2 linked regions of the Tamandua tetradactyla genome follow. The protein of the gene in region 1 interacts with the protein of each later gene in a pairwise test. Links are inferred from orthologs where the notes say so. Each region holds a gene or a part of one and is shown on either strand. Other genes may lie near its edges.

The links.
Region 2: the proteins of CRX (region 1) and GCM2 interact in binary tests that used the Homo sapiens proteins (3 or more experiments, as listed by UniProt). The link is inferred for Tamandua tetradactyla from reciprocal best matches to the Homo sapiens genes CRX and GCM2.

The regions. Positions count from the first base shown.
Region 1 is NC_135342.1:13,270,503-13,278,818, forward strand, and holds the start of CRX (cone-rod homeobox protein), read left to right. Parts: upstream 1-5,255; 5' UTR 5,256-5,399; coding exon 5,400-5,455; intron 5,456-8,316. UniProt on the Homo sapiens protein: Transcription factor that binds and transactivates the sequence 5'-TAATC[CA]-3' which is found upstream of several photoreceptor-specific genes, including the opsin genes.
Region 2 is NC_135351.1:13,859,066-13,867,381, reverse strand, and holds the start of GCM2 (chorion-specific transcription factor GCMb), read left to right. Parts: upstream 1-5,219; coding exon 5,220-5,309; intron 5,310-8,316. Other genes in the region: SYCP2L (synaptonemal complex protein 2-like), read right to left, coding at 833-953, 1,162-1,272, 1,368-1,612, 3,341-3,403. UniProt on the Homo sapiens protein: Transcription factor that binds specific sequences on gene promoters and activate their transcription. Through the regulation of gene transcription, may play a role in parathyroid gland development.

The DNA of each region.
Region 1 (8,316 bases):
GCATTCCGCCAGAGACCCCTAGCTACCGATTTTCATAGCTTGCCACGTTTGCCATATCACTCATCTATCCGTCCATCTGTAAATCTGTCTGTCCAGCTATCTATTTATCTATCATACCTATCTGTATGTCTTTTATCTGTTGTGTGAACGCTGGAGAGTAGATTGTGTGCATCATGCTTCTTGAACAGTCTTTTTCATTTTACTCATGTTGGCGAACATGCTAATGGTATCTCATCATGATTTCAATTTGTACTTCCTAATGACTAATAATGCTGAGCATCTTTTTGAGGGCCTGTTGCCCACGTGTGTATTTTCTTCTGGGGCGTGTCTCTTCAAGCCATTTTATTACTGAGATGTAGGGTAGAAACCTTATCTATTCAATAAGGTCTTTGCAAGGGATGTTTTGCTAATACTTTCTGGAAAACTGTACCTTGCAGTTCTTTAAGTTAATGGAGTCCTTGGGAGAGTAAACTTTTTTTATTTTGATGAAGTCTGATTTATCAATCTTCTTTTATATGATCACTGCTTTCCGTGTCCTAAGAAACGGATGCCTATCCCCCAGTCAAGAAATATTTCTCTGCTTTTTTGTCTAGATTTATGGTTTTGCCTTGATGATCCACCTCAGACTAATTTGGGGGTATGGTGTGAGGGAAGGATCGAGGTGTATTTTTTTTATGTGTGATAACCAGCTGTTTCAGCATTGTTTATCGAAAATATTTTCCTTTCTCTGATACACTGGCCTCTGTCAAAAATCAATTAACCTTAAATTTTTGGTCAAGTTCTGAACTGCCTGGTCTTTCTCAATGATACATTTGCCTATCTTTATGTAATACCAGCTATCTTGATTATTGTAGCTTTATAATAACAAGGTTTGAAGTGTGATAGTATAAGTTCTTGATATTTTTAAGGTTTTTATTGACCGATCTAGACCATCTGCCTATCCATACAGTTTTAGAATCAGCTTGTCAATTTCTACAAAAAAAAAAAAATCCTGTTGGAATTTTGATTTGGGTTTTGCAGTGAATCTAAAGATTAAGTTTGAGAAACCATATTGGGTCTTCCGACCCATGAGCGTGCTATATTTCACCATTGAGTTGGGTCTTCTTTAATTTCTCTCAGCAATGTTTTTCAATTTTCAGGCCAGTCGTGTGAAAGGAGCGATGACAGGGCTTGCGGATGGATTGGCTGTAGGGTTGAGGAAAAGTCCCCGGGGGAAGACTAATGCTCAGGTTTCCGCTTTGGTCCCTGGGTACAGATGAGAAGGAAGGAAAGAGCTCCTCTTGTCCCGGATGTGAGGTGAGCCTGGTGACCCCAGGACCTTGCGCTCGACCATCCGAAACCTACCTTCCACCCTGGGTTGGACCCCCGGGCCACCCTTCCTTCCTCTGCTCTGCGGGCCAGAAGGCCCGGGATTCTCGCACCAGCAGGGTCCTGACAGGGCCACGGAGGGTCAGAAAGCCCCTCCCTCCCTCCCATCCTGGCTTCCCCAGCTGATGAGACTTGCCCTGATTCCCCAGCCAGGCTGCTGGGCGTGACCCCTCCTAGCAGGCTGCCCTGGGGTGGGGCGGGCTGGGAAGAGAAAGGGTCTCCTAGAGTCAGACACAATGCCCCTGTCACAAAGAGGGATGACCGCACGTGCGTGTGCAAGCGCGTGTGCATGTGGGGAAGGAGAGCAGACTCATAGGGGGGCCCGGGGCTCAGGGAGATCATAACATCCAGAGAGTCAGACTTGAGGAGAGAAGCACAGGGGGAAGACAGCCCAAGAAGACAGATGGGGGAAATCAGAAGTACAGAGCAAGGGAGGCGCCAAGGCAGGGAGAAAGACAAGACGTGAAGGGAAATTAACAGGGGAAGAAAGAAAGAGGCAGAGAAAGATGCGGGGAAAGAAAGATTGAAACGGGAAGATTGGAGGTTGAGAGGGGTAGGGGAGTTAGATAAAGGACAGACGGTGAGGCTAAGCTGGGGATGGGGCAGATGGAGAAATACAGCAAAATGAGGGACAAAGAGAAAGACGGGTGCAGGGAGATACAGGCTGAGCGAGAGAGACAGAAAGGGGGTGGCATGGGACAGAGAGAGATGGACCGAGACCCAAAGAGAGGTAGAGAATCACAGAGGGAGGGAGAGAGACAGGAGGTGAGAAGAGTGCACACAGGGAGATGGACCGACATGCCTGATGGACAGAAGAGAGACTGAGGCACAGAGACGCAAAGCCAATGGGCAGGGAAGACAGAGAGAGAGAGGGAGAGAAGGAGAGAGGAGAGAGAAGAGCAAAGAGGAAATGGAGAGAGTTGAAGTTAATAATTCACAACATAGAGCCGAAGAGACAAAGAAGAGTGAAAGAGACCAAGGCAGAGAAAGAGAAAAACAGGAAACTGAGGCAGAAAGCTGAAACAGCAAGGCAGTGCAGAAATGAATTTGTTGGCAGGCAGACTGCTGGAGCAAAAGGGGGACTCAGCAGAGGGGTCCAGAAAGTCCCTGTGCCCCTCGTTTTATCAAGTGATCTCCCAGGAGCACCCAACATTTCCCCTCCGTCCTCTTTGATGCATCCCTCATCCCCCTCCTTGGGACAATGGCCAAAGCTAGAGAGCCACCAGTTAGACCTAAGGAAGAACTTCCCTGAGGGGTGGGGGTGGGGGGGTTCCGGCCAGAGGCAAGAGCTGGGGCTGTCCTTCCCCGTCAGCCCTAATTGCCAAGATGTCTTGGAGGGGGATGGGAGAGGATTAAGCAGAGGGGTGCCCCTCCCCCTCCCGGCAATGTCACCTCCCGGTGCCCAGGCGCTCCCCCACCCTGGCCAGGATTACCCTCCGAGAACCAGGCCACGGCAAGTGACATCACTCCCAGTCGGGGCTTAAAACCTCTCCGTGGGAGGGGTCCCGTTTCCTTCGGTCTCTGTTCCCTGAGGACTGGTCCAGGACCTGGGCCGTCGGGAGAGTCCCCGATCCCTCCTTCCAAAAGGTGAGTGCGTGCAAGGCAGGCAGTGGGGCCAAAGGAAGGAGACGGGGATGGGGGAGGGGGTGTCTGCCTTCTTTGTGCCTGTGTCCCCAGCGCCCGGCGTGGGGTCTGACATAAAGGGGGTCTTCAATGTGGGCTGACTGAGCCCACCTGCAGCAGGGGCATCATCCCGGTGTTGGGAGAAACGGGGCTGGGCTGGGACTGCAGCAGGAGGGAGTAAGGGTAGACTATGGGGGAACTGCCACCAGGTAGAGAGGATTGGGGGGTGGTGCTTGCTGGTGAGGTGCTAAGGTGACGCTCCATCGGTTTTCAGGGACCAGGGCTCCTCGGCTCTGCTCACAGGCAACTCCGAAGCCTGCCTCCCTTTCTTTTAAGACTCATATCACTGCTTGGAATTCATACTCACTTGTGAGTTTATCCACAAATTATCTGTGTCCCTCACCGAACCCAGATTTCCTCCAAGGACCTGGGCATGTGGTCGGCCGCCTCTGTAATGGCTGAATAGACAGACGGGTGAATAAGCAAAATAGAATCCAAGAAATGCGTATGCAGGGGTCATTGAGATTTTGCGGCTGCAGCAAGAGGGAGTGAGGGTAGACTCTGAGCCAGTCCTGGGAGCTCAGGGGCCAGGAGGGCCACAGGCTCGGGGAGGGGCCGGGTCAGCCACTGACCTGCGTGACAGCCCCAGGGCCCTCCTTTTCCCAGCCTTGGTTTCCTCCTTGGTGACAACAGGACCCACCCCATAGGGGGCTTTCACTGGATTGCTGTCTCCTCCCCAAGGCCTGGTGCAGGCGGGAATCCCTGGAGGTCCTTATCGTTAACAGCCTCCTGACCTTGGCAGGCACCTTCCTGCCCCAGGGCTCAGTTTCTCCACCTACAGGAGGGGTTTATCTCCAGCTTTCACACTTAGCCTGCAGATCAAGCGCTCAGGGGAAACTCGGGACCCCTGGGACACGCGATACCTGGAGCTCTGAGAAGCAGTCTCAGGCCTCAAGGGCTGCTCCCCAGGGCAGGGGTCGCCCCTCGCTCCACCCTTTGGGACAATGAAATGTTGTCTTGGAATACAACCGAGACTGAAGGATAGTAAAACCTAGCCACTCGGGGTGCTGTCAGGCTCGTTGCAAATTCCTGGTGGAAGGGGGTGGCCTTGCTGAGATCTTGGACACAAAGCCTTTGGCTGGGGATCTGAGAAGCTCCAAACTCCTGGAGCTCCTTCTGTCACCGGCTGCCTCACCTCTTTGCAAAACCCACAACAAGAGTGTTAATGGGTGTTAGACATTATTTTTTGTTGCTAGTCTTTGCTGACATCTTGTCCACCCACCAGTTCCTGGATATCTGGTGAGTGTGTAAACCCTCAATTCCTGGAGGTCATTGCCATTAGCATTGCTGGACCTTGGGCAGGCGCCTTCTTCCTTCAGAGCCTCAGATTCCCTACTGGTGGAATGGGCTCATCCCAACGTCCTGGAAGGACAACTGCATAGCTGAGTAACCTGTGCAGATTCAACGATGGGGACAAGGGAAGTTGGTGCTTTTTCCCAGAGCCTGTTAGGACAAGTCCACCAGTTCCCCTCTCCACAAGTTCAGATCAAGCACTATTGCTCCTTGGAAGAGTGGACGAGGGCAGAAGGGTCCCCAGCTGGGAGAGCAGGAATCCCAGGTCCCCAAGATTCCTTTAGGAAACTGGGCAAGTCATTTTGCCAGATCCAGGAGTCTTTTCTCATCTGTAACATCTGGGGTGATGGGACGTTTTGGTGATGGATGGTGTCAACAGTCACACAACATTGTGAATGAAATTAATACACTGGATTGAATACTTGAAAGTGGTTAAAATGAGACATTGTATGTTGTATATGTGTTACCACAATAGTAATAATAATAAACAACCACTACAGAACTGTACAACATTAGCATGAACCCTAGTGTAAACTATGTACTTTAGTTAATAATTGAAATATAATAATATTGGTTTGTCGGTTGTAATGGTGAAATCTGTGTGTGTGTAGTATACGGGAATTCTGAACCCTCTGCATGATTTTTTCCATCAACCTACAACTGCTCTAAAAACTAAATAATCTTTAAAAGGTGGGCAAAATAATAACACAGTTCCTACCTCCTAGGGTTGTGCTGAGCATTTAATGGCATGCTGCAAAGGGGACGCTTGTGTATTACTTACCTATTGCTGTGTCACAAACTCCCCCAAAACTCAGTGGCTGAAAACATTAAACATTTATTACCTCATAGTGTTAATGGGGGTCAGGAATCCAGGGGTGGCTTAACCAGATGGTTCTGGCTCACAAGGGGGGCAGGCAGATGTGTACCAGGCTGCAGTCCTTCGAAGGCTTGATGAAGGCTGGGGGAGTCTCTTCCAAGGTGGCCTCTTGCGTGGCTGCTGGCAGGAGTTTCCCTGCACAGAGACCTCTGCAGGGTTGCTTGAGCATCCTTACAACATGGCGGCTGATTTTCCCAGCGATCCAGGAAAAGACAGCAAGGCAGATGTCACCAGGTCTTCTAGCCTCAGAAGTTAGAGGCTGTAATATTTCTATAAGATTTCTGTCATGTCCTGTTGGCTACGCAGGTCAGCTCTGCCATGGAGGCCAGTACTCAGGGTATGACGGTCAGGAGAGAATGGTCAGGCACCATCTTGGAGGTTGGCTACCAGGGCTGGATGTGTGGGATTCCGTGCTGTCATCGTCCTTATCTGCACAGAACTTCGTATGCCCGTCCCTCCTGGCCCTGCTGATTCGACTCCGCTTCCCACTTGCTTACTCTGCTCCTGTCATGTTGGACACCTTGTTTGTCCTCCAAGAAGCCTCCTGATCTTTTGCACCTGCTGTTCCTTCTGCCAAGATCTTCCCAGGGTGGGCGTGTGGGCTGTCACATCTCAGCTCCGGTGTCACCTCCCCGGAGAGACCACCCCCCCCTCAAATGGGGCTCCACTCCCACCAGATCTGGTCACCGTCCTGCCTCCCACACCCGGCATTTCCCTCGGCATTCTAAAAACCATCTGAAAACATCTTGATTTTCAAAAAATCTATCTCTTTGTTCATCGTCAGTTTCTCTGACTGCAACCCGTAAGTTCAATTGTGTGAGAACAGAAATGACGTGTGTTTTATTTCTCATGATATTCCCAGTTCCTAAAACAGGCGGACCCTCAGCGGTACTTAACACAATGAACAGGAGAAACTTAATTTCTAGTAAGTAGGACCTCTCCCTACTCCTGTGAAGGATAAGATGGAAGAGAGGGGGTCGTGGGTGCTAAAATAAATGCCATCCATTTTTTATTCATTTGTTTATTTTTCAAATATTTATTGGGGATGCTTGAACTAAAAGTTATGTCTAGTCCCTGCTGGTAGAATCGGGGGACAGACAGACAAACAAACATGTATGTCCTATTTAATATAGGGTATGTCCTGAATGACAGGAGAGAGAGAAAAAAATGTGCCGGCGTGTATGTGACGCCCAATGTAGAGGGTGAGAGATGGTGTCTGAGTGAGAGGGACCTGGTAGAGGAAGGGGGCTTATCTCAACCTTTCTGATGTGGGGAGCGGCTGAGGCCAATACCCAGAAAGGCTGACAGGTTTCCTGGGTCCATCTTGAGGGTTTGATGTTTGTCCCCAGGGCCATAGGGAGCTTGGAAAGTTTTCAAGTTGTGGTTGTGTTTTGAGATCTCCTTGTTGGTTTTGCATCTGCAAAGGTGACACACAGGCACACAGGGCTAAAAAGTAATCCAAACTGTAAAAATGGGGAGTGGATACAGCACACCTCTCCAGAGGCAATCAGTTCTGCCAATGTCTTGTTTCTTTCCTGGATTTTGTTCTATGCATATACAAGCATATATCATATGACACTTTTATACACATACAACAATCTTTAGACCATATATATATATATATAGTGTATGTATGTGCATATATATATATATATATCCACTGCCTTGTTTTTAAATTCACAAAAAGTAGCATATGCTACACACTGCTCAGTACCATACTTTTTATTTGAATATATGTCATGTATATATGTATATAAAATGTGTATTATATGTATTATATGTTATGTATTTTATATGTTATGTATAATTTGATTATACATAACATCTATTACACACACCTCTTATAAAGGTGTAATTCTGAAAAAGCTAAAAACTTGACTCTCAAATACCTATATAATAAACACAGGTCAGGGATTTATTTAGCTCACTAAGAAGGGAACCTGCTGTTTCAAATGAGAATTCAAGGAACAGAGGTTCATACAGTTATTCAAGAAAAGGCATGTAGAAAAAAAATTTGCCAGGTTCAACACAAAATTTGTTAAAGTTCTACAGGACAACCAATAAAACTGCAATCTTTGAGGTTATCTTTTTACCGGATAGAAATCATTTGCAACCAGAACTTCTAGAAGTTATCATCTACCTGACACTGTCTACCCCAATCAATAATAAATTCAACATTTCCCTAGAAAATGAAATAATCCTAGAGATCTTTGAAAATCAGTTCATGGAGAACAGCCTTACTCTTTTTCATGACTTCATAATATTCCCCTTGTGTGGATGTGCCATTATTTTCTTAATAATTTTCTCTTTTGCAAGTCTTAGAGGTTTCTGGCACTCTTAGGAAATCATAAATATCCTGGGTTTAAAATGCTTGTATAAAGGACCTGCTTGCAAACAACAACAAAAATAATTGCCTTACTAAGCATTGGGTGCTATTTTAAGCACCTTAATCGTGTTAATTCCCTTTAATCTTCACAACCACCTAAAGAGGTAAATGCTGTTTTCATCCCATTTTACAACAAGGAAACTGAGGTACGCCCTGAAGGCAAGTTACTGGGGCCAAGGAAATGTGGCGATTTACGCAATCCACACTGCGACCACCTGACACAGGGAGCACGCTTCTTCCCAAGGAGGCAATGCTAAGAGTTAGCGACCTCATATCTCAGCCAGCCTGGCAGCTCGCTGGCTTTCAATCACCCATCCCTGCTTACCGGACTGGCACAGCTTTAGCACTGAAAGCCCACCTGTGTCCCAGGACAACTGGTCAACCTCCGCCCTCTGTATCTGAAGCCGAACGTCTTTTCCTGTGGTCATAAGGAAGAAAAGATCTCAAAAAAGGGGAATGGTGGATCAGATTTTCATAAGGATAAAATAGTGATACAGGCTTCCATTTATGCTGCTTCTCTTAATTTCCAGGGTTGCTGTAACAGAGTACCACAGCCTAGATGGCTTAAATAATAAGGAATCTATTGTGTCCTGGCTCTGGAAGCTACAAGTCCAAAATCAAGGACCAGGCTTCCTCTTAAAGGGGAGAACCCGCTCCACGTCTCTCCCCTGGCTTCTGGTGGGAGGGCTGCATTCCATGGATTTCCTTG
Region 2 (8,316 bases), on another chromosome or scaffold:
TTCTGGGACAAATACAGTACAAACTACCACAAGAAGCAAAGTAAATATCCTTTGAAAAAATGATCATATCAAATACATTTAAACTCTGTAGTAATAGCTACAAATTAAAAGAAAGGTTTGAATTAAAAGTGTTTTCAGAATGAGAGCTTGTAAAATGAAATTGTCTTTCAAGCCCAGTCCTGTGCTTAAGTTTGCTTCCGATTTATATGTATTTTAAATGCCACTCTGGGAAGTTTATCTTAAATTTTAAAGATCAAATATCAAGAACCCAGGGAAGCGTCCAAAGCATGGAGTAGCAAACTGTGGCACATTCTCAAGCGAACCCGCGTCTGCCAACGGCTCACATTACACGGTCCAATAACTACACAATTATATTAAATATCTACTCCCTTCAACCAAACATTCATTGAAAAGTGTAATACATAAAAAAATATCTTTTAGAAAGTCTCTAAAGCGTTTTTATTTTTTTTAAACCTAGTTTAGGTTAACAGTCCTACTTTAGCTGCTGAATTTGAACCAACCCTTTAAATATCAGCATATTTTACAATTTTATTATCGTCGTTATTTATAAATATGGAAAATAGAATGAATTCAAAACCCCAGCTCCACACTCGTTTACTTTTTCCCCAGCAGAGTATTCAGTAAATGAATTACTCCGCCCACTGGGCGCTACGGAGTCCCCAGCTTCCCGGGCGCCTTAGGGGCTAGAATTTCTAAGGGACTCAGCTGAAATTGCAGCACCAGGGACCGCAGTTCTGGGCCCGGTGGGTTAAGGTCGCTGCAATTTTTATGCAAGAGGGGAAGGAGGACTGGCAAAACATCCCCCACCAACCTGAAAAGAACTACCTCGCTGGCTCTGGACATAAATTCTCCCGTTCCCTTCCTGTGCTTCGTAATGAGGGAGCAGAAGATTGTATCCTGCCTCGTTGTCTGATTGAAACTCTAAAGCAAACCTAAGAAGGCAGAAGCGCTCAAAGGGCCCGGGAAGGGCTCGACCTTTGGCGGCTGGGGACCGTGCCCCGCGCGCGGGATTCCCAGGCGAATACGCCAGGCTCTGCGCCCGAGCGGTGAGGACCTGGGGCTGGGGGACGCCGCGCCCTCACCGCCACCCGCGCGACGACGGACGACTCACGGCTCCCGGGAGTCTCCCCGGTCCCTCACCGTCTGCATCCCGCGTCTCGGGTTCGGACGCCGCACACGCAGGGCTGGAGCGCTCCAGCCGCGCTGAGGTTAGGGATCTTCACCGGGGACGCAAACTGCTGAACCCCGCCGCTGAAATCAATTATAGCCTCGTGGTGGCGACTCAAGAAATGCGTGCAAGAAGCTAGCAATCACCATCAGATCACCTGGGCGCGCGTCTCCCCCACCCTCCAACACGTGCGCCTTTGAGAAAGCGAGTACTCAGAGGTTGTCTGCAAGGCCCCTTGAACTTTTCGTTGCGTGAGTCTTCCCAGGCTTTTCGCAGGCCCGCCTTACAGTTTACTCTCCGCCTTAAAACACCTGCAGCCTGGTGGGCTGTTTTGGATTCATTAATACAGTAATAATGTATAGGCAAAAGCTGAAACTTCTTCCCATAGCGATCAGACTTGGACTCCAAATAGCGGATAGATTCCTAGTATTACAAAAGAAGATTTTTGTTTGTTTGTTTTAAGTACTGTGGCTATAACAAGTCAAAACAAACAAATATTTTCACCCACTTTGGCTTCCTTTCTGTTCACTTCCTTTAAGCAGACAAGAATGTGCACCAATGACAGGGTCTGAAGCGGGGAGGCCATCTGGTTATTTGCTCACAGTGGCAAAAATAAATGGATCTCGAGTTTTCTTTAAAGACAAACGAATGAACAAAAGTCCTCAAATCCAAATATTCCTTGCATAAAAATCGACTTGTCCTATAACACGTGACGTGGGTTTTCATGGCTTGATGTTTCAAGAAGATATTTGTTTACCTCAAAGTAGAACATAATATATGACCAAAATCTCTGTAAATCCAGGTTTATGCATTTGCCTCCAAGTTCACTCAAAACGATGCTAATTGCACAGTTCCCACTTTCTGGTATGCATGGTGTAAATATACCTAGATTAATTTACCTATTTTAATCTAAACCTAGGAAATTCGAAGGCTTGTTCTTTTCCTTTTGAAGTAATGGGATATTACAATATAAAAATAGTAATAAAGGAAAGGACAGCTGGCAACATTATAAATTGTTCTGAATTATTGCAAATACCAGGCAAGAAAGACTTAAAGGATAATTAAAACCACGGTAAAATACAGTTGAAAATGCATTTGTTTTGGGAAAAATAACACAGCGAAGCTTTTCTTATTAGGTAGAAATTTTTGCTAAATTATTTTCAGACTTTTGGGAAAATATTTTTCCAAACTCTAGGATGTGATGCATTCACGTATTCAAAAGACATTAAAGATAACAGACAACAGTGTCACTTATTTTAATTGTTATTATACTTTGATTGGATTCTTTTACTAACGTGTTTCACCCAACCATAATTTTAGGTCAACTTGAAACATATCCTCTATTTGTTCTCAAACTAAACGTGATGGAGGCTTTGTGACCTTGTATTTTGGACACCAGAATCCATTTAGAAAAAGCATGTGATTAATGGTTTTTGCCTTTAACATTAAAAAGTTATATTTGTTCATATTTTTTAAGGGTAAGGACTTTCTAGGAACTTTCTGAAAGCATACAGGCAAGAAACAGTCTAATAATGTTTGTAAGAAAACCAGAAGTTCATCTCTGTGCATTCTCAGAGGTAACTTTAAGTGAATATTTTTAAAGGTGCTTTTAAAGCATTTTTTTTTTTTACATGGGCAGGCACCAGGAATCGACCCGGGTCCACGGGCAAGGCAGGCAAGCATTCTTACCTGCTGAGCCACCGTGGCCCACCCCTTTTAAAGCATTTTAAAGTATAAATTATCTGAAACGATCACATTTGACAAAACATCAATTGCTGAGAGAGAGAGAGAGAGAGAGAGAGAGAGAGAGAGAGAGAGAGAGAGAGAATTGTTAATTTTGTGTTTTGCAGCCCAACAACAAAAAGGAACTGAATGAGAGGAGTTGCTGGGACCTTCTTGAATCCAAAGGTTAATATGAGTCTGTGGCTCATAATCCTGGGTGAAGAGCAGACGCATCTCTTCGTTTCCACCTACACCTTCACAGCGACCAGCTGAGAGCGCCCCTAATCAGAAACCCTGAGAGACATGGCCGTTCAAGGAGGGGAACTTTGGGGGACAGAAGGCTGGGGAATGAACAGATCCACATTCCAGGACTTTTCTGCTGTGCTTAGGACAACTCCAGGTTAAAACTAGAGGAAGAAGAAAACGCACGGAACTGCCCCAAGCTGGCATTTCCCCCGGCGGGAGCTCGCCACTGGCGGGCTGCCACGACATACATTTCGCTGTCCCGTTGACTTTTCTAAGGAAGCGTGCCTATGCCCGTGATTCTGGAGGTAAGAGGATCGCGAGCGTGGAGCAACTTCGCCTTCTGGGGCTTTTTTCGCACAGACGCGCCCGCCTTTTCCTGCCTTGGCCAACACGAGGGGCTAATCCTGCGAGAGGCACCGCCGCATGCGCCCCGCAGCAGAGACCTGCGCAGGGGTAGTCGGTGCGCCCGGCTCGAGCTCCAGGCGGTGTCAAGGTCAAGGTCAAGGACGCCGCAGACTTCGGGTTTGGCGGAATGCGAGCCGCCTTTAGGGGCCGGTTTACCTGTGGCTGGAGCTGGGGACCCAAAGGACGCGGCTGCCTAACACCGGAGCAGGGAGTACATTCTGGAAGCCCATCTTTCCTCGCTGCCCAGCGCCCAGGTGTGACCAAAAGAGCAACTTAATTTCTTCACTCGATTTCCTTTATTGGGCGCCTCCAGGAGCGGGAATCGCCCCAGATGAGGAGATGAGGTGAAGGTGAGGTGATCAGGCAATCAGTCGCTTAGGTGCCCAGGTGAAGAAGGCCTCTTCCCGGCCCTGGGGAACCCACAGCATCGTTTGCCCTCTGGGACGGGGCCCTCCAGCCCCCAGAAAACCTCCCGAGCCTGGCATAGGAGCAGATATGATTTTGTCATGGTATTTCTATGACCATACCAATATTGGCGATTTTTAAAGGGTTGTTTCAGGTGGATGGCAACCAAGAGCTCACTGAATAACAATCCTTCGCTTAAAAGACAAGAAACTGAGGCCCAGAGGGAGCCCAGGCAGGAGGATGAGCTCTGGATCTGGAGAGACGCTCTGGCCCAGCCTGGAGCCGAGAAACTCACCTCCACCCCCACCCACCCCCACCCCCGCCCCTTTCTCACGCTACCTTCCCCAGGCTCACCTCTCCCCGCCTTCCCTCACTTCTCCTGGCTTCACTTTCCAGGACCCTCTTCCCGCAGAGCAGGTCCCTCTGCAGGGCCCGGCAGCGTGGGTGCGCCTGGGCTCCGCGCTCCCGTCCACGTTCCCAACAGGCAAGCACGGGTACAGGGGCCCAAACACGGCTCACCGCCAACCCAGAAGGGTGCGACCTTCCGCACGCCCAGGGCCCCACGCACGACTCCCCTACTGTCCCAGATTTGTCTTGGCTCTGAGAGGACTAGGCTGGAACACCCCTGCTTCAAAAACCTCCGCCTGAGTCTACTACTCACCTTCGGAGGAGGGGCTCTTTAGAAAGAAAAAGAAAGAAAGAAAGGGTTTAAACTTAGATGAGATAATCTGATCTCCTCACATTACCTTCCACCCCCACCCACCCCAAACCCCAATCTTGGCTGCAGGTTCCCTCGCCCCAAGGGCTCTGCTCAAAGCCCCCCTAGGTTCCTGGCGCTGGAGTGGAGGGGAGGCGCGGTGGAGGTGGGGAGGGTGGCGAGGGTGGCGAGTTGAGCGCACGTCTATATAAAAGTGCTGCAAACCCGCAAGAAGCGCTGTAGCCGCCGAGGCTACGGGTGGAGACCTTTCAGCACCACGAGGGAGGACAGGGCTCCCCTGGGTCCCGCACCCTCGTCTGATACTTCGGATTTCTGAACAAATTGCAATCTTTCCATCTCTCACTCACTTGCTCGCTGTCTCCCTCCCTGCTCCTTTACCTCTGTCTCCATCCCTATGCAAACATATCGCGCACGTCCACGCGCACCACTTTCTTTTTAAAGAGAGTCACCCAACGCACCTCTGGGTTTTTGTGTGTGTGTGTGTGTGTGTATCTTTCAGGATCCTGGGCTGAAAGCGCGAGCGAGGCGAGGCAGATGCCGGCCGACGACGAGCGGAAGGCAGACTGCGTGTGCCCCTACGGGATGAAGCTCACCTGGGACATCAATGATCCTCACATGCCTCAGGTACATGACACCGGGTGTGCACGCGTGCGTAGCGTTGTCCACCCAAACAATGGGGCCTGACATCCAAGTCCCTTAATTCTGTGGACAGACACCCCCTACCCCCCACTCCTACCACCTTCCCTTCCAGCCACAGATCCACAGCCCTCAAATGTAGAGAGAACTCCAGACTCTAAAGATGGTAGGATTGAGTTTGAAGATATATCATCTCCTAGCTCTTTCCATGCACTTGCCCGAAACCAGACGGAAAAGGGAACAGGACAGGTCAGGAACTGTCCCTCAGGCCCCACGTCGGGGAGGGAAGAGTACGCCTTCCCTTCACTCTCCTTTGAGCAAGGTTGGCTTTAGGGGTAGAGATCAGCTGCCTATCCCCTTATCCATTCTTTGAAATCCATGAGGAACTGATGGGAAAAAATCGCTCTGAGTGGAATTACTTCTCAGCAAAACAGCGAGCGACAACTATAAATCGCGGTGACCCGAATTGTCAACAACAATAAAAAAACATGACTTGGGCAATTCATTCAGTCGTTCCCGGCAGGTGGGATCAAGCAAGGCTTCTTAGAGGCCCCTTTCTCTTCCTAATCACACCAAAAGCCCCCCAAGAGCCTCTGAAGTTTAGATTTTGGACATAAATTCTGAGCTCAGTCCTTCTCCAACAGCAAGAAAATCTTCATCCTTTTAGAGTGAATTAGATTTTTTTTTTAATGGCCCAAAGTAGTTTGGGACCAAATCCAGAGAATGAGCTAGGCAATGCGCTGACCGGACTGGTTCAGGTTTTTAAAAACTGAACAACTTTCTTTAAAGTCCTGAGTTATACTTGACAGGAGACAGAGTGGCTCTCCAAGCACTGACAAAGAATATGCAATATATCATAGGGATGGTATGATATGCTTGCATTTATTCAGCATCATTATGTGTCAGCGTTCAGATGGACAGCAATTCATTAGAAGGTTCTGTAGCCTTTCAAAGGGATTAGCCTTCTTTTGGATATACCTGTTTGTGGTTTTCTTTTTGCTTGTTTGTTTTAAAGTTTGCTTACTTGGGAGTCATACTGTGCCCTTTTTGTGCAGTTGACCACAATACATATGTGCTTTGCATCCTCACCAGCTTCTGTCTACTTAGTTGTCATAAGAAACCAATTTATAGTAGCGGGTTTTTTGTCTGTTTGTTTTTGTATGCTGTATGGTGGGGTTACATTTCATTATTTCTCCATGTGAGTATCTCATTGTTGCAGCACCATTTGTTGAATTTTGTTTATTTGTTTGTTTCGCTTGTTTGTGTTTTCGGGAAGTGCATGGACCAGGAATTGAACCTGGGTCTCCCTTATGGCAGGCAAGAATTCTGCCACTGAACTATTCTTGCACCTTCATAAGAAACCAATTTAATATTGCATTTTAAGAAACAGGCTTGTATCCAAATAATGTAAAGATGGCTCATTTCAAGTAGCTTCTAGACTGCCTATGTTAATAAGAATTATTTTCCTTTGGGGGACCAGATCTTAAGCAGAGAGGGTGTGGAACTTGTCAGGAGGGAAGGGATAGGTACCCTAAGAGGTAGAAAGAAAACTGCAGGCTGAACTCCTAATCCCAGCCCTGCTCTGGCTCACTAGGGGAGAGAGTGTACGGACCATATGACTTTGAGAATGTCCCTGAACTTGCCTTAGTCATAGGCTGCTCACCTGTCATCACGTGGTGGAACTAGATAACAATCTGAAAGCTTCCTCCAGGTCTGCCATCACTTTCAGAGTGTGTGTGTGTGTGTGTGTGTGTGTGTGTGCATGCGTGCCCACACCAACACATTACAGCTAATGAAACCCAATCCTGGACATCCTTCACTGTTTTGATTTTTAAAAATATAGTTTTTGTGGCTTCACCTCTATGGTCACTACCTCATTAGCTGGTGTGAGACATGTGGACCTGATCCGCACCCATAAAAGAACTAAAAGAACACCCCCTTCTGGAAAATTGACAACTTGTAACTAAGATCCTCAAAGTGAAATATCTGCCTTTAAAACAAAGATATTTACATTTGGAGTTGATTTCATCACTCTATAATTCATCATGACTATTAATTTATGTCAATGACAATGTTTCAGAGAGACACTAAATAAGACCTGTTATCAATAATAATGATTTCAGTGTCATCCTTGTGGCTTTGGAAAGAAAATCACCCTTTTACCTTACTACTGTTAGAACGTAGAATACTGAGGACTTGTATGCAAGTCTGAATTGGCCAAGCAAAGAATGCTTTTACTTTGCAAATGTTGCACCTAATTTCCCTAGGGTGGTGTGAGGGAGAGGAGGTGAAAACAGCTTACCGCTGGGCCTCTGTCATGCTGCTAAAGCACGTGGGGCGTGGCTGCCACATATCTTCTGTTTAAATTCCAGTTGTGCCACTGTGGAAGGTTATCTTCTCTATTAGATAGTAATAGGATGCCCACATTGCAGGGTTGAAGTGCGGATTGCAGATACTGCACAAGAAACCCCTACATCAGCACAGCCACACTAACTCTGTAAAAAATTCTGTCATTGCAATGCAAAAGCCACAGTAGACAATACCTAAACAAATACCCGTAGCTGTGTTCCAGTAAAGCTTTATCTGTGGATACTAAAATTTGAATTCTACATAATTTTCATGTGTCACAAAATCGAATTCTCCTTTTGATCCCCCCTCAACCATTTAAAAATGTAAAACCAGACTTAGCTCACAGCCTGCACACAAACAGGCAGCAGGTGGGATTTGGCCACTGGGCTGCAGTCTGCACCCCTGCCCAAGAGAGTGCCAAGGAAATAGTGAGTGCTCAGTAAAAGGGAATTTTGTATTAAACTCATAGACAAGAAAGATCTTTACTGTAGTAAAAATGATTCATAAAGTATATGTAGGCCATCAAATGTGAATAGTAAAGCAGGGCTGGATAATTTAGAGGTAACTTGGTATTTCAACCATGTGGCTTTTTGTTGAGGAGAATGAGGACCCCATGCTGCTCTGGGGAGAGGCCACTGCCCAGCAG